Linked DNA regions of Tamandua tetradactyla. The protein of the gene in region 3 binds, or shares a complex with, the protein of the main gene of each other region. Links are inferred from orthologs where the notes say so. Each region holds a gene or a part of one and is shown on either strand. Other genes may lie near its edges.

What was found.
Region 1: CEP290 (region 3) and TMEM17 share a complex: the UniProt entries of both Homo sapiens proteins name them as parts of the tectonic-like complex. The link is inferred for Tamandua tetradactyla from reciprocal best matches to the Homo sapiens genes CEP290 and TMEM17.
Region 2: CEP290 (region 3) and TMEM107 share a complex: the UniProt entries of both Homo sapiens proteins name them as parts of the tectonic-like complex. The link is inferred for Tamandua tetradactyla from reciprocal best matches to the Homo sapiens genes CEP290 and TMEM107.
Region 4: CEP290 (region 3) and TCTN1 share a complex: the UniProt entries of both Homo sapiens proteins name them as parts of the tectonic-like complex. The link is inferred for Tamandua tetradactyla from reciprocal best matches to the Homo sapiens genes CEP290 and TCTN1.

What each region holds. Positions count from the first base shown.
Region 1 is NC_135343.1:35,276,373-35,283,574, forward strand, and holds the start of TMEM17 (transmembrane protein 17), read right to left. Parts: upstream 3,002-7,202; 5' UTR 2,916-3,001; coding exon 2,819-2,915; intron 226-2,818; coding exon 122-225; intron 1-121. UniProt on the Homo sapiens protein: Transmembrane component of the tectonic-like complex, a complex localized at the transition zone of primary cilia and acting as a barrier that prevents diffusion of transmembrane proteins between the cilia and plasma membranes.
Region 2 is NC_135332.1:62,012,658-62,020,672, reverse strand, and holds TMEM107 (transmembrane protein 107), read left to right. Parts: upstream 1-4,995; 5' UTR 4,996-5,175; coding exon 5,176-5,262; intron 5,263-5,467; coding exon 5,468-5,535; intron 5,536-5,633; coding exon 5,634-5,734; intron 5,735-6,477; coding exon 6,478-6,574; intron 6,575-6,810; coding exon 6,811-6,880; 3' UTR 6,881-7,608; downstream 7,609-8,015. UniProt on the Homo sapiens protein: Plays a role in cilia formation and embryonic patterning. Requires for normal Sonic hedgehog (Shh) signaling in the neural tube and acts in combination with GLI2 and GLI3 to pattern ventral and intermediate neuronal cell types.
Region 3 is NC_135333.1:157,258,687-157,265,886, reverse strand, and holds the start of CEP290 (centrosomal protein of 290 kDa), read left to right. Parts: upstream 1-4,189; 5' UTR 4,190-4,545; intron 4,546-5,081; exon of another isoform or gene 5,082-5,084; 5' UTR 5,085-5,109; coding exon 5,110-5,211; intron 5,212-5,324; coding exon 5,325-5,402; intron 5,403-7,200. UniProt on the Homo sapiens protein: Involved in early and late steps in cilia formation. Its association with CCP110 is required for inhibition of primary cilia formation by CCP110.
Region 4 is NC_135331.1:11,363,396-11,370,296, forward strand, and holds the start of TCTN1 (tectonic-1), read left to right. Parts: upstream 1-3,900; 5' UTR 3,901-3,958; coding exon 3,959-4,178; intron 4,179-6,901. UniProt on the Homo sapiens protein: Component of the tectonic-like complex, a complex localized at the transition zone of primary cilia and acting as a barrier that prevents diffusion of transmembrane proteins between the cilia and plasma membranes.

The DNA.
Region 1 (7,202 bases), on a different chromosome or scaffold from region 3:
CATATCATGAAACTGACCTAAGATAGTACAAGATAATCAGGACTTTAATTTTACTGACAATGTAACAATGCCAGGGATGGGGAGAAGAGACCTCAGCAGAGGTATAAAAGTATAGACTTACCTTCATCTGAAGCATCATGATGCTGCTCACCCACCAAAGCGGGAAAAAGTAAATGTTAAAATAAATTGACATCTGCAGTGCCAAACTGGAGACCATTTCATTATCTACAGAAAAAACACAGAGAAAAGGGACATGCTCCAAATCCTGATCTATGGCCTGCAAGTCCTTTCATTCCTTAGAATTGAAAACCACGGTATTGGTTCAACAAAACTCCAAATTTTACGCCTATTTATAGCCATTGATGGTGAAAGGAATTTCACCATCTATTTGGGAGTGTGTTTCATATTTCTCAATTACTTTCTCACTTTGTCATTATGGTCTGCTGACTCGTTTGCACAATGCTGGTGTAGATTTAATGTGGAATTTCAATACTTGTCATTGAACAGATAATAATAACATTTTACAGCATATGTAGGGTTCTATATAAACAGCCTATAAAAGGAATACATAAGAATACATAAAAACTAGTTTCATATAATCTGTCCAAGTTATAGACGCATCCCCTTTTCAGTATATCCTAATCCCACCCATTCTTTAACACCCAGTTCAATGTCCCCTTTTCCATAAATCCTTCCTTGATCATGATTCCTCACCTGAGTAGAAATTCCCCCCCAGAGGTACTTATTCTCAATTGTGGATGAAAAGTATTAGCAAAGAACCACACTCATTCCATCTCACTTCACTAGGCCCCAATTTAAGAGTAGAAATTATAGTTTGAAATCAACTGCTATAAATGTAGGAATTTACAAAGGTTCCAAAATAATTTCTTGAAAACAGATTATTTTTTATTTCTCCACATCTGAGTAGTTTCAGCATCATTTAGTAATTTATTTAAATAAATAATCATAATCTTTCACAGTAAGGTTTCCTTTCGCTTGAAGAATAAACCTGATTATTATGATCTACTTTTGCATACACAGATTTATTAAATCTTCACTGATAAATGAATGAATTCTTAAAGTCTTAAAATCATCAGCCTAGGATTTCTTCATAACAGTTCAACTCTTGGTTAGCTGTGGACATGGTAGTGATATAAACTTGAAAACATGGTACAAATAATCAAACCTACTTCAAATCCACAAAGAAGAAAATACGGAAAAAATAATGATAAACTGCTTAAGCTGAAAATTTTAGTACTTTTGGAACAGAGACAGCAGTCAAAATTTTGCAAAGAAAAGTTTTTGTTAGAAATTTTGTGCATGAACATCTTGAGTTATGCTATGTTCATATTTCAGCATATCAATTTTATAATCACACAATGGAAAATGAACCTCAGAAGCCCAAAACATCAATTTATTAAATTTACAAAAGTACAAGATGAATTTTGCAAACTGAATTTAAATTAAAACATTACAGAATATAAATCAGGAATAGGCAAACTTCTGGCCAGCTGCCTGTTATTTTAGGCAGCGAGTTAAGAATGGTTTTTCACATTTTTAAATGGTTGAAAAAAAAATTTCATGATAAATGAAAATCATATGAAATTCAAATTTCATTGTCCACACACAGATATTTTTTGGAACACAGCCATGCCCATTCATTTATTTATTTTCCATGGCTGCTACAGAAACTGGGTGGACTGTAAAGCCTAAAATTTGCTATCTGGACCTGTCCGGAAAAAGACTGCTGACCCTGATTGAAATCACTGCCTTGCAACATCAGATTTTAGGGTCTGTTAAGCCTGAGCTGTAGAATCAGAAACCTGAAAACCTAATTTTTCACATTATGTTTTTCTCTGTACATGCTAAATCAGAAAGAGGCCTAAAATTTGAGGACAGGCAAATGATCAAGGTGACAAAATGAACTATGGGTATCGACCTTGCTTTTCTCTCTTTTTTAAAAAAGTCCCTAAAATCAAGCAGAGGAAAAGACTTTGGTTTCTCAGCAGTGATGAAAACAGCAAAGGTTTGGTCGACAGGATGTTATCTATCATGACTTAGGAGAAAAAACTGTTTTGAATGAAACTGCGTTTTCACTTGTAATCATGTTAAATGTAGCATCGTGTTATTTTGTTACCGGATTTAGAGAAAGAGCTATATATAGGGAATGAGGAAAAGGCTGGGAAAGGGACCAGTTTTGAAGACCCTGCTAGTGTGGCAGCTGTCACTCTAGAGTGGATAGCGGTTTAAAATGACTCATAAAATTTTTTTTTCATCTCTCCTGCTGTAAAACGGACCTGTGAGGGAACATACTTGTTCTGCTAGGAAGTGAGAACAGGCAATATTTCACAGGGGCGGAGGAGAAGAGGTGGGCAGGTTGCTTGGATGGTTCTCCCTTACTCCCCATCTCCTCAAATCCCATCGAGGCCACAAAAGCCAGGCATACGCAGGAGAAAAAGCAACCACGGTCTTTGCGGAGGGCGCGGAAAGGGACGTGCGCAACTATGGCGGCTTTTAAATTTAATTAAAAAATGTTTAGTCTCCTTCCAGGCAGCGCTGAGCCTCACGGTGCAAAGGCCCTTGCCAACATAGGCGCCGCAATGTGTGGGTCAGGCGCAGCGCGACCAGATCAGGATCAAACCCGGGTTCCGGCCCAAACCCCAGCTCCTGCCCCGCCTCTCCTCCAAGGCGCTGTCGGTACCGCAGAGAACCAGCTGAAGGCGAAACCGCCATTTTAGGTCCGGGCAAACTGGGCGCTCCAAAACCTGCGCCAGGCCTACTGCGGGCCACACCCCCTTCCTGGGCCCAGGCCACTCACCCGGACCCTCGTTCTCCGGCCCAGTTCGGTTTGAGTCGCTGAACATAGTCCGGCTGAAATTTCCCAGCCGCTGGCGGACGGGGTCTGGAAGCTCCATGCCTGGCCCTCGGTACCCCTGGCCCTCACAGACACAGCTTGGTCTGTGGGCGCAGCCGCGCTCGGCGGTTCCCACGGCAACCGGGAGGCGCGAGGCTCCGCAGGGCCGCACTGCGGAGCGCGGAGTGCGGGGTGCGGGGCCGAGCCGCGTGCCTGCAGCAGGGATGCGCGCGCCGGGCCTCATCCATTCCCCGGGAGCCCAGGCCTCAGCTGTGTACAAAACGGCAGCTACTCTCGTCCTGTGTAAACCCCGCCATCCTTAATGACCTGGGATTGGATTGTGATGCAAGGGAGCAGAGCCTTCACACCTTGTCAGTGAAGAGTGTAATTCGGCGCGTCCTTTCCGGAGGGAAATGTAGAATGGATGCAGTGCTTAAAGAACGTTCATGGCCCACTAGTGCCTCAATCTATATACAAAATAGCGTTGCACACCATATTTTTTTTGTAAGTGTAAAGCAAACTATAAATTACTAAAATATATAACAATAGGGAACTGATTAAATGTATTAGAGCACATGCATTCAGTGGAATAACATTGTAACATTTAAGCATGCTTGCAAAAAATATTTGATGATATGGATTTTGTTTTAAAAGCAGAAGTAAAATAAAAAAATATGAATCTAATTTAGCAAAATGTGCGTGTAAGTATGTGGGGACAGGGAGTGGGAGGAGAGAGTACGTGGACCAAATTTAACAGTAGCTGTCTCTAAATAATGGGATTGTGGGTGATTTAAATTTCCTTTTTAAAACATTTCTGTATTTTCCAGCTTTCTCTCAAATAAGATGTATGATTTAAAAAACAAAGCATGTTTAGTTGAAATGTACGTATAGACGAGGGCACAAACTGAGTATACATCTATTACTGGCACGCAGATCAAACAGTACCTTTACAGCACTCCCAGAAGCCCCGCTTCTTGCTCCCTCTTAGTCCAGCTCTCAACTAGGAACTCTCCTGACTTCTAGTAACACAGATTAGCTTTGCCTATTTTCATACTTTATATAAATATAAAGTATATATCTATGTGTGGAATTACTGGGTCTTAAGGTAGAATCCAGTTTTAGTAGTTATACCAATTTCTACTGACTCCAGCAGTGTTTGTTTCTTCCCTCTATTAATTTATAGTCGTTCTGATGGGTATATGGTAAACAGTATTATTTTTATGAGCAAAAGGAAGCTATACATACTTTTTTAAACGTCAAGAAGATAGTATGGGAAGAAATTGCTTCATGGCTAGAATTTTAATATAATTCAATAAGTGTTTACTGAATTTCTTCTGAGTTTTCATGCATCGAACTAGGTAAATTAGGGTTGTAGTTCCTCCCCTCAGGAAGCTCAGCTAGTGAGAGAGACATGGAAACAAATAAGCAAAATACACTGTTAAGTGCTCTAACCAAGGGATACTGATGAGGAAGCAATTAATTCTGCCAGGGACTTGGGGATATCAGTGAAAAACTGGCTAACTTCTGCTGCGTTTCGGGATGGAGCTCAGGCTTTACCATCTCTAAAAAGGCTTCCAAGATCCTATGCTTACTTTGTACAGGGTGTTTGTCATACTGAACTATAATTGTCTGTTTATATGGCTGTCCCTCTTATTGGTCCACAAGCTCTTTGATGGCAGGATGGGCTTTTGTTTTTCTCTTTATATCCCCAACACTAGCCCTGTGTCTGGCCTATAGTGGGAGCTGGATGACTGTTTAGTCAATAAATGGGAATAAAAGATCTAATGATCAGTCCAGTATCTTCCCATTTCTAGTTCAAGGATTTAGCCAGCCCTTCTTTAAGGTCCTCTCTATAGAATGAAGAACTGGCATATTAAAAGGCAGTTAATTATGACAAAAAAAAATACAAATAGCAACAAAGAATCACTTTGAATCTATTTAATTAATCAAGATTTTTATTTTAAAAAGCAGGAAGTCTAATATCCTGCTGATTGAGTTATACTTGAGCAACCCCCATTTAGAAGAACAATCAATAATATATATAAATAGACAAACATTTTCATGCCCTTTCACACCATAATCCAACTTTTAAGTATCTATTTGGGAAATAATCATTGAAAGTAATCAATTTTTAGTTATATACCAAGATGTTATTTCCTTCATTGATATTAGCCATAAAAAAAAAAAAAAAAGAGGAGAGCAGGATTTAAAGTGCCTAGATGAAAGGTCTTTTTATGCAGAGTATGATACTTGTAGTGAGGAGCTGGGCTGTAATGGGAGAAATGCCCCTGGAATTACAGCAGGGTCCAAGTCCCCTAAAATTCTCACTCTGCCATCTAATAGCTGTGTGATTGATTTCCGACCCTTGTTTTGTAAAATGAGACTAATTATATCCTACTGCTATGGTTGATGTGAAGATTATATCATTCAATAAAGCTCCCTATAAATGCTAGCTATCATTACACATTTTTTCAAATGATGTTTAGGAAGAAGAAACACCTACAGTGGAGTCAACTCATGCCAGCAGTTAGTTTTCTGAATTCAACTATACCTGTTAAGCAATACCTCTATTGCTTCCCTATTAAAGACACTGGATGCAATCAACAATAAAACAGCTTATGCATGTTAACCAAATTTGTCAAAAGCCTGAGTGAATTCTTTTAAAGATTTTTTGCTAGCATTAAAAAAAAAAAAAGAAGTGAAACATTGATGTAACTATTTCATTAAAATCCTAGAGGAAGAAAAGAATGAAGTTATGGCTATTTTTCCTTCTAATTTTATTTATTATCTTAATTTTCTTAATGAGCATATGTTTCACAGGAAAAAGCAAATTTTGTTAAGAAATAAATTAGAAAATAATTTTCCTTCTACAATGATTTGCGGTCTTCCTTTCCAATCTGGTACAGGAAGAATGGCTCCTGCAAAGAAAGGTGGTGAGAAGAAGGGCTGTTGTGCCATCAAAGAGGTGGTGAGGGAGGGTACCAGAAACATTCACAAGTGTATCCACAGAGTGGGCTTCAAGAACATGCCCCTTGGGCTCTCAAAGAGTTTAGGAAATTTGCCAGGAAAAGGAGATGGGAACGCCAGATGTGCACATTGACTCCAGGCTCAACAAAGCTGTTGGGCCAAAGGAGAAAGGAACGTCCCAAACGGTATTTATGTACAGTTGTCCAGAAAACTAATGAGAGTGAAGAGTCACCAAACAAGCTCTAGATGGTGTTTACTATGCTCCTGTCATCACTTTCAAAACCCTACAATCAATGTGGATGAAGACTAATAGCTGATTTTCAAATAAAATCACAAAATAACTGCCAAAACTAAGTACATGAAGAAAAAGAAGGAGTGATGGTGCAAAAATATCTTAGAGAAAAGAGCTTTGAGAGAAAAAAATTGTGGATTGGAAAAAATTCTGTCATCCTTCATGTGGCAAATGGTCCAAAGGGCACGACAAACTCTCCAAATATCTTGTTTGTTGATCCTCGCAATAAAGTATTTATAGGCAATCACATTAGTGAAATACTGAAGAATAGGGGGACAAATGCACTTTCATGAATTAAGAGAGGGGTATAATTTGGCTTTCTTGTACTCTGGACATATTACTAACACAGGAGCTAAAGAGAAAAGAATGGAACTGCCATTCTTAGAACCAGGGGAGTCATTCCTGGCACGATTAATAAATAACCCTAAAATTTAGGGTGAAACTGTTTACTTCCTATACCAATGTTGATGCTCAAATACCCATTTCTCCATTAGTTTTTAAATGTATTCATTGGGGCTTAACTGCATTTATGGTTCGCTTTGTTAAATATTTATTTTCACAAAAAATTCAAGGCTATTGCAATGGTTTGTTTCCCCTTGACAAGAGGCAAAGGTATCAAGTATTACTACTCTATGCAACAAGAAATTAATTTGGAGAGTTATTCAAATTACTCCTTGATATAATAAAGATAAATTATTTCTACTTGATGCTAATAAAAAATTTAGGAGGAAAAATATTTTTGAATGAACATCATTGAATTTATTGCCTTAAAATGAACTGAGCCATTTCTCAGAATTTAGGTCATTTTAAAGATAAATTGTAATTTGTGTAGAATAAAGATATTCTGATTCCACATCAGTACTCATATTAGAAAATATTATTCTAAATTACTAGAAATATAATCTTATGATCCTCAAATTGTTAATGGATAATCAAAACCTTTTTGAAACCCTAGTACAATATATTCTGTTCTCAGCACTTCAAAAAGGTGTATAAGAAAGAGTTAGACTATGAATTACATAGAAAGTTAAATCTCGTGAAAAGAACTTTTCATACTATTTTAAGTGATATTTCAAGGCTGACTTTAAT
Region 2 (8,015 bases), on a different chromosome or scaffold from region 3:
GACAACTTGAAGAGGCTCAGGCTGGCCAAAATTGGAACAATTTGAGCATCAGAAAGAAAAACTGCAATGGATTGAAACAGACAAAAGAAGTTAAGACTCATAAGCTCACAATGGTACTGAAAACAACGAATTAGTCAACTTTGGAGGATGCTTTTAAGGAATCAATTAATTATTCAGAAATTTAGTAAATAAAGAGGGGAGAATAACACTTTATCCTGCCTTAGCCATATGACCTGTATCTCAGGGTAAACAGCACGTTGATGAGGGCACCTTCTCATTTATAGAAGAATCCCAGCTGATATGCAGGAGGAATGATGGAATTAGAACATTTCCATTTTGCAATTTCTAATGAAACAATGGAGCTTGGTGATTATAATTGAGAAATTAGGATTTAAGGGATGATTTTGATTACTGAATCGTTATACAGATATTCCTTTTTGCTTTCTGGTATATTGGAGTAGACAGAGGGAAATTCCTGAAATCTCTTAATTATAATCCAGCTGTCATGGCATCTGAAATTATTGTAAAAGCCTTCACCTTGTGACTTCGTAACTCTAAAAGCTGTTACGCCCTTTATCTGGTCATTTAGTTATAAGGCAAAGGTCCTAATGCTAATGAAGAATTTGAAGTCAGCCATTAACTAGCTTCAGCTCCTGATATTTGTACATCCTATTAGCTAGATTCTGCTATTGAAAGATAACTTGTCTCCATTTCTTTTGGCTTACACTTTTTGTACTGAAGTCGTTAGCCTGCCTCCTTTCCTTTCAATTTATATTCTTCTATGGAAATATTGATAACATTGTCTCCTTTTCTGCTTTGAACTTGCTACTCGAAATGACCACATCTCCCCTTGCTAAAGTCCTTAAAAACCTTGAACCTCCCTAAACTTGGGTAGATAGATTTTGGGTCACCAGGCCATCTGTTCTCCTACTATATGCCCAGTAGAAACTCTTTTCTCTCTGAAACCCAGCTGTCTCAGGAACTGGTTATTGAGTGCGTCAGACAAGATAATCCACTGCCTTTCTCTGGTAACATGATGGCCAATGGATGCTTGAATCATGAGGTGAAAAAATGATGGCAAATTTATAATGACTGCATCATCAGTCTGACTGCAACTGAACCCAGTGCTCAATCCTAACACCAGAAAAAGACAAGCAGCCATCCTGATGTGATGGAATAGGAAGTACCACAACCAGGATGTATTTTCACTAGAAATTGAACCTAAGACTGAAGAGCCAAACATTAGACAGTTTACAGGGTTTTAAGAATATGTTAAATGACAGCACAAGAATACAGCCCACAAAATGGCCCAGTTTCTTCAAAAAATAAATTGCAAGAAAATAAAAAGAGGAAGAGGAAAACGTAAGATTAAACGAGATTTAAGACCATGCCTGGGAAAGAGATTCGATTTCTGGCCCATGTAACCCGGCTCCTGCCCCCACCCCATCCCACCCCCCAAAAAAGAGAGATTTAAGAGTCATATCAATCAAATGCAATGTCTGGACTTTACTTCGATCTTGATTTGAGCAAACTAACCGTAAAAAAAAAAAAAAAAAGGTATGAGTGAAATAAGACAGACACAAAACTAAAAATATTGCATGATCTCACACATGAAATAATTAGAATATGCAAATTAAGAGTCATGAACTAGAATACAGGTTACCAAAGGAAGGGGTAGGGAATGTGAAGTTAAGGTTTAATGGGTAGGAGGTTTCTATTTGGGGTGATAAAGAAGTTTTGGTTATGAATGGTGGCGATATTAACACACTATGAATATAATTACAATGCTGAATGGTGTCCTTGAAAGTGGCTAAAATGGGAAATTTTATATTGTATATATGTTATCACAACTTAAAGAAAAATCCATAGAACTATATACAACATAACAAGTGAAGCCTAAACTATGGAGATTAGTTAATAGTGTAATTATAATATTGGTTCATCAATTATAACAAAATTACCACACCAATGCAAAGTGTTAATAATAAGGAAAACCATTGGGGGGAATATATGGAAACTCTACTTTCTGCCTAATTTTTCTGTAAACCTACAACTGCTCTAAAAAATAAACAAAAACAAAAAATTATATATATATATGTGTGTGTGTGTGTGTGTGTGTATGAGACAGTAGGCCAGTATGGACTATTTGATGATATCTGGGATTTGCTTCAAAATAACTGAGTGGTGTGGAATAGATGAAATAAGGCTGGCCATGTGTTGACAATTTTTGGAGCAGGAGGATGGATTCAGAAGGGTTCATTACCTTATTCTCTTTATATAAACATATTATACTATACATGTTTGAAATTTTCCATTATAAAAAAGTTTTGTTTTGGGGTACATGGGCTGGGAATCAAAAAAAATTTTTTTAAGTTCTTGTATTTCCAGTTCATTGTTAGGACTTGTGGACTGTAGCCCTGGAGGGCTAACTGGAGGACACCTGGTTAACTAGCAGGCCCTTCTAAGGTTGCAGATTATCTTTAAAACTCACTTTTGTGAAAACGCTAGCGATGGCTTCATCTATCTAGGGTAGGCTTCTGTGAACCCAGGTCACAGAAAATGATGCATACCTACAATGTCCGTTTAGTATTTATTGATTTACAATAGGGAACGTGACTGTTCAATTCTGACTTTCTAATAGAGCCTCTAGGCAGGAAGCGTATTGTAAGCAAAACACCCCAAACTTCCAGCTGCTGGAGCCTAAAATCTTACAGTTACCCTTGACTGTTCTCTTTTCTCACCTGCCCAAAGCCCCCACATCCAAACTTTCTTATATTCTATACAGCTCTTGATTCCCTCTGTTTCTCCACTTTTTGCCTTCTCCCTAGTCCAAGCCCCATCATACTCCCTCCTGGACACTTCTACCGCATCCTCACTAGCCTTCTGCTTATAGTCTTACTCCCTTAAAGTCTATTCCCCACATTGCAAACAGAGACATCTGAAATACACATCCATTGATGCCCCTCTCCGTAGCTGCAAGGCGTGACATGAACTGGCTTTTGCCCTTGTCCACCTCTCCAACCCCACCCTTCTCTTCTCTTACCCTTCCATTACTAGCCTTCAGACATACTGGCTTCCTTTCTGTTCGCTGGGCTTGATCCATTCTGAAGATCTTTACACTTGCTGGTCCCTCAGTCTGAAAGGCTCCTTCCCCAGAGCTTTACATGGCTGACTCCTTTTCTTCATTCCCTTTGTTCCAGGGGACTTTGAAGATTTTGCAAATACCATATCCTGGACCTTTTGTCGCTTAGGCCTTACAACAGAGCTTCCAACATCTGTGAGGAGTCAATTTTGCAACTGTCACTGGGGAAGCTTGGCTCTGAAGGCCTGAACTTTCAGGAGAAAATGCATGTCAGTTACAGTGAAGGGAAGAAAAACGTCCTGACATCTTTTCTACGCTATTTGCACACTTGTGACGCTGTAATATCTGTGCTGGAGAATACAGGAACCACTTCTCATTGTGGGGTCATCAGGATCATTCATTTTAGGAGTCAAATAGCAAAGGGTTACCTCAAGGGAGACAAACAGTTGTGTTTACAGTACTTGATTTTTCCTGTTCACCCTGAGATGAGGGGAGGTTTGGAAATACTTGCAGAACTTAGAAATGGTAACAGTTAAGGAGAGAACCTCCCCTACAAACCTGTGAGTGGAGACCAGTGTAAGCAATATTTGATTTGTTACCTTGAGTAGAAAATAAAAGGACTTTGCTAAATATCTCCCTTTGTAAAACTAAGTGCTCAGAAAAATCTAAAAAATTTTCCATTTATGGGGATAAAAGCTAATTTAGTGCTGCTCACTAAAGAGGTAGTTTCTATGAAAATGCCATTACATAGCTTCAGTATATAGGAAAGCAACATTTAACGGCTCTCAAATCCGAGATATCATTCCTTCTTTTTTTATAAAGCAATTTAATGTCTCAATTATAATACTGTGTAAGACTCAAAAGGAAAACTTAAGAGGCTTACTGTTTTAATCTTTTCGTTTAAAAATAATTTGATTTACAGAAAAGTTGCAAAAAACAGTACAAAGAATTCCCATGCCTTCACCCAGAACACATTCGCTTTACCGTTTTTCTCTATATAGACAAACACATACACACACACACGCACATAAATATTTTCTAAACCATGTGAGAGACAGTTAAAAAAAAAAAAAAAGAAGCGCATTTATTAATTTGCGGGCCTGGAAGAGAGAAAGCATTTTGCCACACTTTTGGCCAAATTCCCTAAAATATTTGTTTAACATTATGTTTAAGAACAAAAGACCCACTTTCAAAGTGCATTTCCTTGGTCATATTATTCTAGTGTTTTCCTATTACCGTGTGTTTGCCGTCGATGTCCCTGATTAGAATATAAATGCACGAAAGTAGGAACATTTGTTCTCCAATGTACTCCTAGGGCCCGTACAATGCTTAGTACTTACTAGGCGGCCAATAAATATCTGTTGAATTAAGACATTAGAAAGGCCTTTTGGGCTTGTAGCCCAGAACAAGGCTTAAAGGCAGAAATGGGAATGGGGGTTCTGCTGGGAGGTGGGCAGGGACCTTGTGAGAAAACAGCACTCCGGGGAGGGCTTTCCCAAATCTGCAAGGATCCCCTAGAGGCCCAAACGTCAGTGAGGTCGCCGACAGTGAGCGGTCTTTGGACTGCCAGGGGAAGGAGGGGTGCCGGACACTCCGAGGAAATCGCGCGCTTAGTCTGCCTCCCTACCTCAGAGCCTCCTGAGGACGCAGGGCCGGTTCCATTCCCTTCCTCCACCCGCCTCTCCCCTCTCCAGGCCCTGCCATCCACTCTCTTATAGAAACACGCCTCTTATCCGTATCTTTCTTCAAGAGAGCTGGCTGTTTCTCGCACTCTGCAAATCTCTCCCTAAACCGAACAAGGTTGTTGGTGACTTGCCTCCGGAGGAATGGATCAGGCTTCCTCACGTGGGTGAAGTTTGAGGACTCGAGCGGCTCGAGACTTCCCTGCTCTCGCGAGATTTCCAGCGAGCAGGGCGGTGCGCCCGCTCACGCCGTTGCCAGGACAACTGGGCGGGGCCAGCGCCGGCGGGAGTAAAGAGGCCGAAGAGTTTTTGTCCGCTCGTGCGGGGCTTTTTTATTAGTGGCCAGCCCAGAGTTTCCAGCCTCAGAGACTACAGCCTCTGCTCGGGGCGGTACCCCTGTCCTCGGGCACCATGGGCCGGATCTCAGGGCTCGTGCCCTCTCGCTTCCTGACGCTCATGGCGCATATGGTGGTCGTCATTACTTTATTCTGGTCTCGGGTAAGACCCACCGCTGCTCCTCTCCCACCTTCCAGCCCCGCCCCGCCCGGTCCTGCCCCGCTCCGCCCCGCCCGGTCCTGCCCCGCCCCTTCCCAGGACTACCTGCTTGGGTGCTTCAACCCCCGAGCCGGTACCCTACTCCCCAGGCTGCTCCGCATCCCGCCTCTCTTTCATATTTCTCTTCCTCTCCATGGCGGTTCCCCAGGACAGCAACATCCAGGCCTGCCTGCCTCTCAAGTTCACCCCCGAGGAGTATGAGAATCAGGACATTCAGTGAGCTCTTGGGGCGGGTGATCAAAATGAAGCGGTGGTGGAAGTGGAGGGGTCTTAGAAGTCCAGAAGTCCTGAGTCAACCCCCTTCCTCTCTGCAGGCTGGTGGCAGCGCTCTCTGTCACCCTGGGCCTCTTTGCAGTGGAGCTGGCCGGCTTTTTCTCAGGAGTTTCCATGTTCAACAACACCCAGAGCCTCATCTGTATCCTTTCTGCCTGTACACCTTACCTACACTGCCCATTCCATCACGACCCCTCTAACCAGGCTTTACTAGCACAGAGGGCTGCCTGGCAGGCAAACAGAATTTCTCCAGTTGACAGATCTTAGGCAATGTGGGGCATTTAATACAATCTGCAAACATTTGTTAAGCCTCTTCTATATACAAGGCACTAGAGAACCAGAATGAGAGTAAAACACAGTTTTCTACTGTGAGGAGGAAGCAGACACAAAAACATCTCTAATTCCGTGGGATAGCACTGTGCTGTGGGAGTGCATAAAGATATAAAAAGCACTATGGGAACTCAGAAGAGAGAGAGGAAGTGCAGAACATGGTTCAAAGAAGGCTCCTGATAGCTGAATTGTGGGCCTGGAGGAGCAGGGTGGTGGAGTATGTTTCAAGTAGAGTGTATCAAGGGGCTGTGAGCATTTCTGTCTGTGGTCTGGGGGTGTGTGGGGTACTTTCTGAAGGCCAGGCTGTCCCCTAGATATGTGTTGGGATACCCTGGAGTCCCAGCTGTGCAGGCTTACCTCTGGCTTCTACTCACCTGGCTGTCTTAAAACTCAGGAGACAGGGCTGCTGTCTCTGGCCCTTGTAGAGTGGTGGGAGCAAGAGATTAACTTGAGAGCAGGTGCTAGCCGCCGCTACCTCCACCCCAGGCCTTTTCTAGTCCATCACTACCTGTCCATCCATCCAAAGGTTTTCCTTGACTTTGGTGTGTTCCCAAGCCATCGGGGCACACTGTAGTGCATCCGTGGCCCTGTCCTTCTTCATATTCGAGCGTTGGGAGTGCACAACGTACTGGTACATTTTTGTCTTCTGCAGGTGCGATAGCACCCAGTATTTGGGGATGTGGGAGGAAGGTTTTCCCTGTGCAGCCAATTCCCCCTGGTGTCAGACACCAGATCCACTCAACATCCTGTGGTCTTTTGAAGTCTCTTCACCCCCCACTCCTTACACTTTGGGTGGAGTCTCTGGTTTGGGATTTTGGGTATTTTTATTGGAAGGGATCCTGAATCCACCGCCAATTGCTCCCTCCTTCTCCCCCCGCCCCACCCCAGCGCCGTTCCAGCCGTATCTGAAATGGCATTATTCGTCGCTGTCTTTGGGCTGAAAAAGAAGCCTTTCTGATCACCTCCATGACGAGAATGTTGGAACGAAGGCTGGAGGAGCAAGGGGCCGTACACGGGTCGTGAAAGAAGACGACGTAGGCTTCTCACTCTGAAACTGCACCTGGTGGAAGATGTGTATTGTGGTAATTAGCTCCCTATTCTAGGATTATTAGCGTTTTATTTCGTGCTTTATAATAAAAGATATTTTATAATAAGATCAAGACATGATAAAAATTTCAGAAGAGAATGAGGATGGTCAAATTACTGGAGAAAAGCAATTTTTTCTAGAATTACCGTTTTATTTTAGTTATTACGGTAGACATTTGGCGGGAGGGGATGGGTGGAGCTATGTAAATAAGGGAGCGGTCGGCCGCCCAGCGGTGAAAGGAGCAGTATGGGAGGAATTGGTGTATCCCTTTTCTGTGAGCCGGCAGTATGAGAACAATGTAAAAGAAAAGTAGCAGTAGAAATGTAAATTTCATGTAAGTTCCTAAACACCTTTAGGTTGACTAGGCTTAGACGTTATATACACACCCTCTGTAAAAGCGGAATCTTTTAAACAGTGCAGCGTGGTAGGAGGTTTTTGTTTTATCGTTAGGAGGGTTAATCCTGACCTGTTCCTCTTTCGGGAGGGCAGATTGGATATGTGATGATTGGAGTTGGCATGATACGTGATTAGCGTTCTGCGTAATCAGGGCTTGCAACACCCTGGTTGCTCCTATCTGATACCCCTAACGATCGCTTGTGGGTTTTTTTGTTTCGTTTTAGTTAGTTTGCGGTACGTCTTTGTTTTTTTTTTCAATTTGGAGTGAGTTATCATAGTATGGTTAGTGGGGGTTTGATTTGGACTTGTTTGTTCGTTCTGTTATGTCGTGCAGGAGGCGATGTAGTTTTATGTGCGACTTGTTTGTTACTTGTGGGTGACTCTGGTTATACGGAAACGTATAGATTCTTCTCCGATATTATTCGGTGTCTGTTGTCTTTTACAATCTTAAATGAGTAGTGGGTCAAGATGCCCACTTCTGATTTCCTGTAAAATGGTGGTGTCGTCGGTGTCGCATAAGGCTGTCGAAGTCTTTCTTGTCACCACGGTAGGAGGGCAATTTGCACGGAGTGGGAAGCCATTCATGGTCATGGTCGTAGCATTTAGTGTA
Region 3 (7,200 bases):
TCTGAAATGATTGCAAAAAGCCCTTATCTTGTACCTTTGTGACTAAGAATTGTTACTTCTTTTTTTCTGGTCATTTTCTTGTAGGGCAAAGACCCTAATGCTAATGGATAATTTGTAGTCAGCCATTAACTAGCTTCAGTCCTAGATATTTGTAAATCATATTCCCTAGATTCAACTATTAAAGATAACTTGTATCCCTTTCTTTTGGCTTACACTTTTATACTTTTAGTATTGAAGTGATAGTTCTGCCTTCTCTCCTTTCAACTTCTGTTCTCCTATTGAAATAACATTGTGTCCTTTTCTGCTTTAAACTTGTTATCCAAAGTGACTGCATCTCCCCTCACTAAACTCCTTAAAAATCCTGAACCCTCTAAACTCAGGGAAACAGATCTTAGGCCTCTAGGCCATCTGCTCACCTACTACATGCCTAGAAATAAATTCTGTCTTTGAAACCCCAGTGTCTCAGGAATTGGTTACTGATTGCGTCTGGCAAACGAATCCACCACTTTTGTCTGATAACAACTATGGCTAACAATTTAAAGAGTAGAAGTCTCAGCCTGGAAGGCTAGTCTCTGCTACTCATGGCCCCATCATCTAGGAATTAGCCTGGGATTCTTTAAATGGTGATCTCAGGAAAACAACAGGGCAAGTTTCAATGCAGGAACTTTCAGGCCTCTGCTTCCTTAATGCATTGTTATTCTCAACCAAGCAATTTAAATCCAGAATCAATGTGGGGGAGGTTATAAAACTGCCAATGACAGAATTTTAAAAAATCTCCAAGGCAGCTTAATATGAGAAAAGGAGTGCTAATTCTAGTTCATGTTCAGGAGCTCAGATGTAGAATCATCTTAGTCTCTGTCCGAAAGAACAATCTGCAAAGGTAGAGTTTGGAAGGCTAAGGGGAGGGGGGTTAGTTACACTAAGTATAGAGGGAAGCATGATTCCCTGGGGGGTCACACTGTAAAAATGTAATACATCACTGTCAATTGTTTGTTTTGTGAATTTAGAGGTTTTTTTTTCTATGTTCACAAGCATACCCATACATATGCAAATAGTGTGATTGGAGAGTCGCTTGGTTTATCTGCTTACATTACAAAAATGAGATGTCACTATATATTTTATTACAGCTATGATTGGCTTTTCCGTGTCATTGGCCAGTATACAAACATTATAAATCCAAATACCTTCACCTGGCAACAAAACGCTTCAACTGAAAACACAGTAATTATATTTAAAAATACAAATCTAAAATGTTTCTCATTATGCAAGTTTCCTATGTTTTACTTAATAGTTTTGTTCTAAGTTCTCGTTTTTTTTTTTTAAATACCTTATTAGTTTTGTTCTATCTTTTAAGTTCTCGTTTTTAGAAATATGTATTATCAGGAGGTTGGATATTTCAGAACAATATTCTATATCACTGATGTCTCATTTTAAAAATTTTCCTTTTTCTTCTAATGTATTCTGAGAAAATATAACAGGATTATTCCTTTTCATGATATTTATATCTTTTAAAAATTTTATTGGTAGTACATTTCTTCTCAAGCTTTCTAGTATTTCTTAGCATAAAGCTACTTCAGCAGAAGGCAGCTCTATCAGTTGTTTTTTTTTCACCTGAGCTGTAGAGTAATTTCAGACTGCAACTAAAGACAACTTATAACCTACATCATAGATACAAACACATCTTATAATACAATTCTGGCAACAAAATTGTACTGAGTGCTCACTCTTTCCAATGATCCAACAGTTCAATTGTGTAAAAAATAAACCTGCAATAATGAATCTGGAAATATTTAGCCTATGAAGGGAAGTCCTCCCAGTTCAATGGTTCCATGGTGACTGTACCATCTTCTTTAACAACAACGTTCTATGTTCTACTTCTAAAGTTTGTAAGTTTGTTTGGCCTGCTATGACGTCTACTATCCTTTCCAGTCTTCTCATGTTGAAGGAAGACAAGTGTCTGCTTGCTGTACACACCTCTCTCCAAGAGAATGAGGCAAAAACAAAGTATTAACCATACATAGTGAATATATTTCCTGCTTTATTTTAGACACTGAAAAAGTAAGCTACCACTTATTTACATGATAAGGCAGCAAAAAGAGAACAGTAGTAACATCTAAGAAATACTGGCTGACTGCTTCAGAGAACAGAGGTAGCAATGACAAAAGACAAATCCATCTCGCAAAGAGATTTTGGTCAGATAAAACTGTTCATAAAGCCCTAGAGAAAAAAGAAGGCAGGTCTAGGCAAGTGTTTCTGAAAGAAGGTCACATTAATCCCTGCTCTTTGTGGAAACTGAATAATGCACAAAATGTGATGAAAAGTAATGGACAGTATTAGCGATTTTCCTCAGAATTACATAGTGAGATACAAAGTATCTCCAGTGTCTATTACAGTGTTCAAGCTCAAAAATAGAACAGGTTAAAGAATGAAATTTTATGCACGAGTTTGCTTTTAGTCAGGATTATTATTGAGATCTGGGTTATATTAGCTTCACCAATTATTAGGAAATCACTTAATTTCTCTGAATTTGTTTTAACTTCTGAAAAATGAGAATAAAACTTACCATAGGCCAGGCACCTTCACGTGCTGGTAATATAAATATGAATAAGAAGGTAAGGAAGGTAAGGACAAAAAAGACCAATACAGTAAAACAAAATCAGTAAAATAAATATCAAGTAATAGCTAGTTACAATGAAAGTTATGTAGAAAACAGGGTATTATGATAAAAAAGATTCTTCTTACAAAAATAAATATGCAGTAATAAGCAAAGTAAATACTAAATTTCATCCCTTCCTTTCCCTGTAAATTGTGAATTAAAAACATTGAATGTGAAGAATATTTGAAGTCCAGACGAAATAAAGTCTCAATTAGAATATGATATATTTAACATAGATAGAAAAGTTGATTCACTCAGCCCTTTACAAATACTGGTGCCCAGAGAAGTTAGAGTAGGTGTTAAGACCTTGTCCTCCAGAAAGAAAGAACCATGTTCAATTATCCTACTTAGATTTGATCAGAGTACTTAAACTCTCTAAGATGCAGTTTCTTAACTTAGCTGGAAAATGAGTACAGTATTAAGAACCCATCCCACTGGATTTTTATGAAGATTAAATGAAATAATGCACAGTATTTGGCATATAATCTTTCAGTAAAGGACTAAATTATAGTATCTACAAACCCAACACATGTCTCTAAAATTTATTTCACAAAGTTAACGTTTTTATTTTCACCTGGGCTACTTTTAATACTCAAACGAGTGGTTTGAAAAGAAATCTTTTATTTTCAAAAGGAAAATTTACTATCGTATTAATAATGAAAGAAAAGCTAAGGAAAAAAAAATGGTAACGATGAGACGCACTGGCACACACAGCTGGGAAGTCATTTTACATTTCAAGTCTACAGCTTCTTAAATTACCTAGTGCTGTATCAAGCACTAATCCCTCATACTCCAGAATCGCGGGGAGCAGAAGGATGCTCAAAACTCGCACGAATAAGTGCGGTAAATAACTGAAGAGGCCCTCCCATAGAAGGTACCCTCGGCAATCAAACAAGTGGTTTGACAAACCTAGCGGCCCTTCTCTCTCTCCAACACCCACCTCCCACCCCCAGCAGGGACCTCTTCTTTCCACTCTACCCTAGCACTTATCGAATCCTTAAATCCGCGAGAGCAATGGTAAAGCGGACAAGATCGGAGGACCACCACATCTTTTCAATTCTTCACTGGTCCCCAAACCACGCTCTGGGCTGCGCGGGCCCCACTTCACAATATGGAGATAGATTCTGATACCAAAGAAGGACAAAACTTTTTTCCTCGCAGAGGGCACCACCCTGGCGCCTCTTGCAAACGCCTGAGGAGAAGGTGGCGCTTACTAGCTCTTCAAAACAGGGCCAGGCCCTTCGGTCGCAGTGCGTGGAGCTTCCCCTCAATTCCTTTCCCTCCGCTGACCGACAGCCGAACCTCACCTGGTAGAGGTACCACAGCGATAGCCGCTTAGGGAAAGCGCAGGAAGAAGGGCCCAGCGAGTGAGGCCACTGAAGCCATAGTCATGGCCTAACTCGCTCAGGCCACCAGTGTGGACGCGTCTCAGCCCCCGTACCTCCCGCGTCTAAGTATTATCCAGGTTGCCCGGGTTCGGGCGCAGCTTCCCGCACTGCACGCTGGGAACACCCACCCTCCCTTTCCCAGCGGCTTCAGCTCCCAGCATGCACAGGACTCGGCGCAGAACTGCGCTCTGGGATTTAGAGGCCTAATTGCATGCCTTCTCCTCTTCTTTAGCACGTATAGGCGGGGAATCTAAACGTAAAGCATTAATCCACAGTCGTGAAATGTAGGCTCTGCTTGCATCCGGGGCCTTGCTCCGGAGTCTGCGGGGTGGGGAAAGGCGTCGCTTAGCAGCCACCGCCGCTACTCTGCATGGTTCCAGTTGGCCGGACCTAGACGTCGAGTGGAACGGCGCTGGGGGTGTGGTCAGAGCTCGGCGGCTGGCTTAGGCGTGGTGGGTGCGGTAGATGAGGGTTCTTCGCTGGCTACCTGTTTTGATCTAGGTGGGTTGCTCTTCCTGAGAGCTGTCGGAGTGTTGTGAAACGCGGGTTCTTTAGCCTCACAGGGCCTGTATTTAACAGCGCCGCTTCTCCGCCGCTTTTAGTCTCTCTGCAATCTTGCCTTCCGCGCTCCAGCCCTGGTTTCCCAGGCCAACTTCACTCAGTCCAAATGTTTATTTCCGCACTTTTTTTTTTTTACCCGTAGTTGCTGCTTATCCGAGTCAGTCATTTTAAGCCTTTCAAGTGTCCCCGCTCTTGGCACCATTAAATGTGCGCGCGTGTTGAGGACAGGGTTTGTCGGGAAGGGGATCCAGAATCTCAGGCCTAACCTGGATTCTTTTAGCAAGGAAGCCGTCGAATTTTATTTATTCGGTACTGTTTTTTTTTCTGACAGTTTGGGCCGACTGCTACAGTTCTTGGTTAGGCTATTTTGCCCATTTACTTCTTTTGCAATTAAGGAGCCATAACTAACACCGCAGAGAGTTATGAGTCAAGACTGTTTACCTTGGAAATGCTAATATACACTTGTTTTATTATAGAAGGTAAAGCACAGTGAAAGAATTCAAGATGCCACCTAATATAAACTGGAAAGAAATTATGAAAATTGACCCAGATGACCTGCCTCGTCAAGAAGAATTGGCAGATAATTTATTGATTTCACTATCCAAGGTGCTTAATATATACATAGAACCATGATTAAATCTTTGCTCCTGAAATCATTTTGTAGTAGAACTGGAAGCGTTCTTATAGTTTGGTTAAATAGTTGCTTTTTGTTTACATAGGTGGAAGTAAATGAACTAAAAAATGAAAATCAAGAAAATGTGATACATCTTTTCAGAGTTACTCAGTCACTAATGAAGGTTTGTATGCAGTAGATTTTATTATTAAACTATTAGAAAGCATTTAAGAATCTCTTCTTATCTGAAATAAGTAATCTCTGCCTAAGTACTTTGTAAAATCTGAATCAACACTCAAAAAGTGAGATATATTAAAATGTGGTGGGAATGTCAAAGGGTGCAACCACTGTGGAAGGCAGTTTGGCGGTTCCTCAAAAAGCTGAATATAGAATTGCCATACGACCCAGCAATACCATTGCTAGGTATCTACTCAAAGGACTTAAGGGCAAAGACACAAACGGGCATTTGCACACCAGTGTTTATAGCAGCGTTATTTACAATTGCAGAGAGATGGAAACAGCCAAAATCTCCATCAACAGAAGAGTGGCTAAACAAACTGTGGTATATACATACGATGGAATATTATGCAGCTTTAAGACAAGATAAACTTATGAACCATGTAATAACATGGATGGACCTAGAGAATATTATGCTGAGTGAATCCAGCCAAAAACTAAAGGACAAATACTGTATGGTCCCACTGATATGAACGGACATTCGAGAATAAACTTGAAATATGTCCTTGGTAACAGAGTTCAGCAGGAGTTAGAAACAGGGTAAGACAATGGGTAATTGAAGCTGAAGGGATACAGACTGTGCAACAGGACTAGATACAAAAACTCAAAAATGGACAGCACAATAATACCTAATTGTAAAGTAATCATGTTAAAATACTGAATGAAGCTGCATCTGAGCTATAGGGATTTTTTTGTTTTTGTTTGCTTGTTGGTTTGTTTGTTGTTGTTGTTTTTTACTATTACTACTACTTTTATTTCTTTTCTTTATATTAACATTTTATATCTTTTTCTGTTGTGTTGCTAGTTCCTCTAAACCGATGCAAATGTACTAAGAAACAATGATCATGCATCTATGTGATGATGTTAAGAATTACTGAGTGCATATGTAGAATGGTATGATTTCTAAATGTTGCGTTAATTTCTTTTTTTTTTTTTCTTTCCGTTAATAAAAAAATAAAAATAAAAAATAAAAAAAATAAAAAAAAATAAAAAATGTGGCTGAAGAGAGCCCTTAGTGTGCAAAGCATTGCTAGTTCCTGCTCTAAAGTTCCTAGAAGAATGTGTAGGGGAAGCAGAATGGGTTTATTTAGAAATAAATAATACGTTTTGGTATATACGGAGGTCCTAATGAATAATGCAGGCAATAACTGCTATAGTTGTAGATAAAAGGAGGAGAGATCTAAGAGGTTTGAGAAAACTTTGAAGACTTCATGCAGGATCAGGTCTGACAATAGTTTTAGATAAGTGAATGGGGAATGGTAAAATGGTAAAGAGATTCTAGAGCTGAGAAATTACCGTAATTAAAGACAAGAAATAGGAGTGTGCTTATTCTTTGCATTTAAGGAAACAGCTGCAGAAAGTGTGTAGAGAATATAGCACATTGGTGAATGGTTTGGGATAGGCTATCTTAAGACCTTATTTTATGCTAACAACAACAAGGAGCCATTAAGAGTTTTGAGTTACCATCAACAGATGTAAAAATATGCCTTAGACATGAGATCTTACTGGTTTGTATAGGGGTTATGCAATGCCCTGATATATCCCAGAATAATTTGGGCAGAGAATAAAAAAGTATTTGCAGAGTCCCCTTGAGGGACTGGAGAGAAAGGAAGAAATAATAAACTTCCCCATCTGGGGAATTCCTGATATTCTTGCAAGCAGTGGGGACAACAAATTCAGTAGGCTGAGCCCTTGATCTTGGGGTTTGCCTCTATGAAACTTTTGCCTGCAAAGGAGAAGCTAAG
Region 4 (6,901 bases), on a different chromosome or scaffold from region 3:
CATATAAATGAGGTCAGACAGTATCTGTCCCTTTATGTCTGACTTATTTCACTCAACTTGATGTTTTCAAGGTTCATCCATGGTGTAGTATGTATCAGAACTTCATTTTTTACAGCAAAGTAATATTCCATTTTATGTATATACCACATTGCATTGTGTTTATCCATTCATGTATAGACGGACACTTGATGTTGCTTCCACCTCTTGGCAATTATGAAAAATGTCACTATGAACACCGATGTGCAAATATCTGCTCAAGTCCTTTCCCTCAATTCTTTGGGGTATATACCTAGAGGTGGGATTACTGGGTCAGAGTAATGCTATACGGAACTCTCTAAGGAATTGCCAAATTGTTTTCTACAGCAGCTACGCTATTTTACATTGCCACCAACAATGTACAAGGGTTCTTACTTCTCCGCATCTTCTCCAATACTTGTTATTTTCTGTTTTTTTAAGTAGTAGCCATTCCAGTGGGTGTGAAATGGTACTTGTGATTTTGATTTACATTTCCCTGATGGTTGATGACAATGAGCATCTCTTCATTTGCTTTTTGGTCATTTATATATCTTCTTTGGAGAAATGTCTGTTCAAGTCTTTTGTACATTAAACACAGTTGTCTTTTTGTTGTTGAGTTGTACGAGTTCTTTATATATTCTATATAAAGAATATATAGAATATTCAATACTTTCTCCCATTCTGTAGGTCATCATTTTACTTTCCTGATAAAATACTTTGATGTGCAAATGTTTTTAACTTCGATTAGGTTCCATTCATCTATTTTTTATTTTGTTGCCCATGTTTTTGGTGTAAAGTCAGATGGACATTTTTAATCACAAACATTTATATACAATCCAAATGCTGTGCAGCTGGATAAAATATGGGAAAATAACTTAGCCTCTCCTGTTATTTTCACATCATAATGATAAAGCCTGGGTAAAAGGAAGGGAGAAGGGGGCATTGTGAGAAAGATGAAAAAACCCAGATTCAAGAGGGTGTAACCTGACAGAAATGGATAATCCGTGAAATGAAAAGTTCGTTCCAATTTCCCTAAGGTTTACAAAATGTATCTGAGTTAACTTAACCTTCATTTTGACTTTGTAAGATGTCATAGATTGTTTTTAGGTCATCTACTGAGTGTTTGAGATTGGACAGAAAGAGGTGATGAGATTAGTTACCAAATCATGCAGCAGGTCTCAGTTGGAATCATGGAATATTTTACTTGAAGAGAATCTCAAAGGTCATATAATCATAAAGACAAAAATGTTAAAGTCATAGGGCACTTTATCAAATTCAATCAAACAGCCTAAAATTTCAAAACAGAAAATAGGACTAAGTGATTCACAGATATTAGAAATAAAAAGAAAATAGAGGTCTAGAAGAAAAGACTTCTTTCCCTTTTAAAAAAAAAAAATTAAAAAGTCCTGGACTTAGAAGTTATGTGATGAGAAGTTTCAAACTGTGTTGAAAAATACCGTTTTTTTTTTTTTTTTAAAGGAAGCATTTCATCAGTTATTAAAAACGGTCTAGAATTTCAGTCGGATGCTGGTCTAGTTTGCAGGTTGCCAGAATGTGATACCAGAAACGAAATCACTTTTAAAAAGGGGAATTTAATACGTTGCAAGTTTACAGTCCTAAAGCTGTGAAAATGTCCAAATTAAGGTACCAACAAGAGTTACCTTCATTCAAGAAAGGCCGATGAAGTTCGGGGTTTCTCTCTCAGTTGGAAGGGCACATGGTGACATCTGCTAGCTTTCTCTCCCAGCTTCTTGCTTCATGAGACCCCCCCAGGGGGTGTTTTCCTTTTTCATCTCCAAAGGTCTCTGGTTATGCAGACTCAGTCAGTTCTGGTGACTCCATTGATTCTGGTGGCTCTAAAGATTCTTCCAAAATGGTTTCCTCTTAAAGGGCTCTGGTAAGCAAACCCCACCCTGAATGAGTGGAAACGCATCTCCATGGAAACTATCTAATCAAAAGTTACCACCCACACTTGGGTGGGCCACATCTCCATGGAAACAATAATAAAAAAGATATCATTCAGCAATACTGAATGAGGATTAAAGGACATGGCTTTTCTAGGGTACACAACAGATTCAAAATGGCACAGATACTAAGGCAATAGTTGGCAGAAAAAAATTGGAAATATTTGTATTATAGATTTGAATGATCCAATGATATTTTATGTTTTTTTAAATTATATTTTTATTCACTTTCTCTGGAATGCCACAGGAAGGCCCTAACAATGTCACTTTGATAATTTAGCTTTGCTATATAAATTAAATATACCAGTATATATACTATTTCGGCATTCTTCTGAATGGGTAAACTGTGTTTCTTGAATAAATATCAGGATGTGTATAAGTATTTTCACATCTACATCTGAAATACAAGGAGAGTGTCAAAGGTATACCCACCATTCACAGGTTCAGGTACTTCTTTATAAATAATCCAGTTTACAACAGAAGGGCATCCTAATGTAATTGAAAAGTTAGGATTGAGAAATGATTATGATTACCAAATCATTATATAGATATTTCTTTTTACTTTCTAGTATATTAGAATAGACAGAGGAAATACCTGAAATTACTAATCCAGGTGTCTTATCTCTGATAATATTGTATAATGACAGTCTTTATCTTGTGATTATAAAATCCTTGTGACTGACTCTCACAACTGTGAGAGCTGTATCCCATTTTTCAACTTCAGAGTCTTATGATCACTAAAGACAGCCCCTAGTGTTTATGAATGAAGGGTCCTGAGTCAGCCCAGAACTAACCCATTCCAATTCCAAAGCTATGTTGATAGAGGAAGCTGGCTCTCACCAAAATGGGCCCGCCTGACATGTGCAGTAGCTTAGACTTCAACCTATTCATGACCTATACCTCATTATAATATTAAAAATCATGCCCCTCATCATATTAAGACCGCCATTTTGCTGACATACCTTCTTGACTAAGGATGTAATCAACCTGCACATGCTCAATAATTAGATTATCTCTAATTTTGTCATCTTGAGTCATTGTGCTTATTATCCTAAAACCTGACCATCCTTTGGGACCATAAAACCTTCAGAATTATTGCAATTCAGGAGACAGATTTTTAGCTAGGCCATGAGATCATCTATTTCGCACCTAACAATAATTTTTCTCTCTTTGAAATACCTCCCCCACCCCCCTACCCCCCACTCCCACCCCCGTCTCAGGAATTTATCATTTCAGCGCCTGGGGCAGAGAACCCACCACTTTTGACCGATATCACTAAGTCTTGTGTTCTCCTTACCATTTTGTAGAGTTATAGTAGATTGGGTTTGTTTTTTGTTTGTTTTTCTTTTAAGACTTAGAGATCAACCTACTCAAAAAAAAAAATCACCCTACTTAATTTTTGTCAGGTGTTTTTTTTCCGTCTGTGAAAATGTTGTGTTTATTTTCCCCTGTTACCACAAAAAGGTGGACAAACATTATTTGCGGACCCCTCTCGGGAAGCACCAAAACGACGGTGACGTGATCCTCACGCACCCCTTCAAAAGACCCGTATGTCGTCTCGTCAGAAATGCGGCTCCCAAATCTCCGCCCGCACACCGGCTGCGTCAAGACCTTTATTAAAAATACTGACTCTTGGCTGCCACTCTCTAGACCTACTGAATCAGAATCCCCTGGGCTGGAAATCCGCATATTTTAAATAGGCGCTAAGGTGGGGTTAGGAAACCATAACTAAACTTACAAGTGCCTTGTCTGGGCGGCTTCGCTCCGCCTCTGGGCCCCGCCCTGCGGACCCCACCCTTCCTCATCCCGGCTACCGTGGGCCTCGCCCCGCCCCCGCCCCTCCCTCGCCCCGCCCCAGCAGGTCTCCCGCCACCCTAGCTGCTTCACAGGCCCTTTCCCGTCATGCTCCGCGCCTGGCCCCTGCCGTTGCCAAGCAACGCGTGGGCCGCAGCGTCGGCCGCGGGGGGTTCAGCTGGGTGATGGGGCCGCGAGGCCTCTGGCCGCTCCTCCTCGTACTCCTGGGCTGCTGGGCCCCCGAGAGCGCCCGGGCCGGGGCCACCCCGGCGGTGACGACGGAGGTCCCCACCCTCACCCGGGCAGCTCCAGCGATCCTCGGAGCCTCTCGGTCGCCTGAGCCCATCGACACTCCCAGGGTTCCGGATCCCTCCTCCCGCTCCAGGCCCACCCCAGTCACGGATGGTGGGTACCTCGAGCCAATTCTTTGGGGTCCGGAGTGTTCCAGCTAGAAGGAGGTAACCTAGGGAAGAATGTAATAATACCAATGATAGCTAACTTTTATTGAACACTTACGTGTGCCAGATACTGCTCAGTGTTTTATAGGCATTGTTTAACATTTCCAACAACACTGATCCCCGTTTTATAAATAGGCTCGGAGAGCATAAGTGCGGAAAATCATATTTTTGAAAGTTCTTGCGGTGATACCGGACAAATTAATGCTCAAAGTAACACTGAGTGAGGCCGTGTAGCCAAAGATGAAATTTCATCAAGAAGATGCATTTAACTTTTTACTTACGTGAAAGAGAGATGCCGAAGGTTTAGCTTACTAAATGTGAAGTCGAGACCCTTGTCTGTTAATTTTTTTTTTTTTCAGAAAGTAGGTTTTTGTTCTTCCGTGGCCATTGGGCTTAGCCTCTGAAAGTCTGAGCCGGGAACAAAAGTTTAACATCAGATTTTATAGACAGGATGACACGTTAATGTCTCTTGATTTTTAATATGAAAACCCAGTTGGATGCAGGAAGATATGGGGTGAGGGGTTATGCCCCCTTCTTAGAAGTCATATTTAGGGATAGTTAGCATATATCTCAGAAAGCGACCCTCTAACCTGGGAGTTACACATTTAGTGAATATTTTATAATCTGATTTTCCACAGATGACTTCAGGGAGTGTCTATGACCTCCTGAAATTGAGTGCACAATTTTGCGACTGCATTTTTCTGGGGTGAGGGCCATAGTGGTCAGCAGATTCTCAAAGGGGTTTGTGATCTCAAAATGATAAAAATGTAAATCCTGTGTGCGGATTGGGAGTAACTGCAGTAGGTGTGCAATATATATATATATATCCTGTCTTAAGAGAAAAAGATTTTTACTTAAATAGGGTAAGACTTAATAACTAGAAAAGTCATCATTGACTGATGACTTTGAAGCGTAGGACTTAACTTTGGTTCCTGAACCATTATTTCTCCAGAAGCCCTCCTTTGATTATGAGTAGTATGTAAGAAAAAGTACAGTGAAATCCATTTGTTATTTGAATATATACACACAAAACTTTTGTATTTAAACAATTGATTTGATGAGTTAGTAAGGAAGTTAAATCAGTGATAAATTGAGACAGAAGACAGCAGACTAGTGAATGTCTGAAGTTCTCTAAAGCTTTTGGAACTGTGTTTTTTATGTAAGTAATCCATTTGCTAATGAATCTTGTCCCCAAGAAACTATTCTTGAATTATCATTAGTAGTGTTTGTATTCAGAACTGTTTTCCAGATGGAGGATGAATTTGTACTGATCTTCACCTTTTTAAAGGACCCCTCTTTACCTATCATTACTTGTGATGGTAATGATAACTTTCATTTATTAACTCTTTTTTCTTACATGGGCAGGCACCAGGAATCGAACCCGGGTCCTCTGGCATGGCAGGCAAGCATTCTTGCCTGCTGAGCCACCGTGGCCTGCCCCATTTATTAACTTTTATTAAGTGGCAGGCACTGTGCTAAGTATTTCACCTCCCATGTATCTCGTTTAATCCGCATAAAAACCCTGTGATGGGGATACTGTTACCCTCATTTTTTAGGTAGTTCAATTACTTGGTTAATTTAAGGTCATATGACTGGTAAGTGGTTGAGCAGGAAGGAAGTTGACCCACTATAGAGAACTGGACAGCTATTTGCAGAATGGGTCACAGGCAGTATTGGTGGAAGAGAAGAGTGGTAACTGTTCATCTTGAATCAGCTTGGTTCATTTGTACCCATTTGTCCTCTGCTCTACAAGCCAGGCTTGTAGATGTTAAGTGGTGTGTAAGAGCAGCCAAGTGCTGCTTAGACCCAGAGAGTCGTCAACAGATCCTTGTTGGCTGATTAAGTGCACTCACATCCTAGAGGGAGACACTTTTTTTCCTAAGTGGGATTGTTAATACTTCTCCTTTCTCTTTAGTAGTCCTGTAGCTCTTTTCCTTTTAAGTTTTGGAAAATAAAGCAGGATTATAATTTTAAATTCATAAGGCAGGGAAGCTGCATGTTCTTATTTACATTGGTTTGCACATCATTTTACAAAGCTAGAGAGAAGCACATAAATTTAAGGGGGAGAACTTTTGTGCCTTGGACTAGGAAAGGATTGTATTTATTGACAAAACATGGCACTTCCCCTCAATCACACATTTTTTTTTCCCATTGTGCCTTTTTGGGGACTGTTTTGTTTTTTTTTTTTAACTTTTTTTATTAATTAAAAAAATTAACAAACAAAACATTTAGATATCATTCCATTCTACATATACAATCAGTAATTCTTAATATCATCACATAGTTGCATATTCATCATTTCTTAGTACATTTGCATCGATTTAGAAAAAGAAATAAAAAGACAACAGAAAAAGAAATAAAATGATAATAGAGAAAAAAAAGACTATACATACCAAACCTCTTACCCCTCGCTTTCATTTACCACCATTTCAAACTGAATTTAACATTTGTTCCCCCTATTATTTATTTTTATGCCATATGTTCTACTCTTCTGTTGATATAGTAGCTAAAAGGAGCATCAGACATAAAGTTTTCACATTCACAGAGTCTCATTGTGAAAGCTATATCATTGTTCAATCATCATTAAGAAACATGACTACTGGAACACAGCACTACATTTTCAGGCAATTCCCTCCAGCCTCTCCACTACATCTTGAACAACAAGGTGAT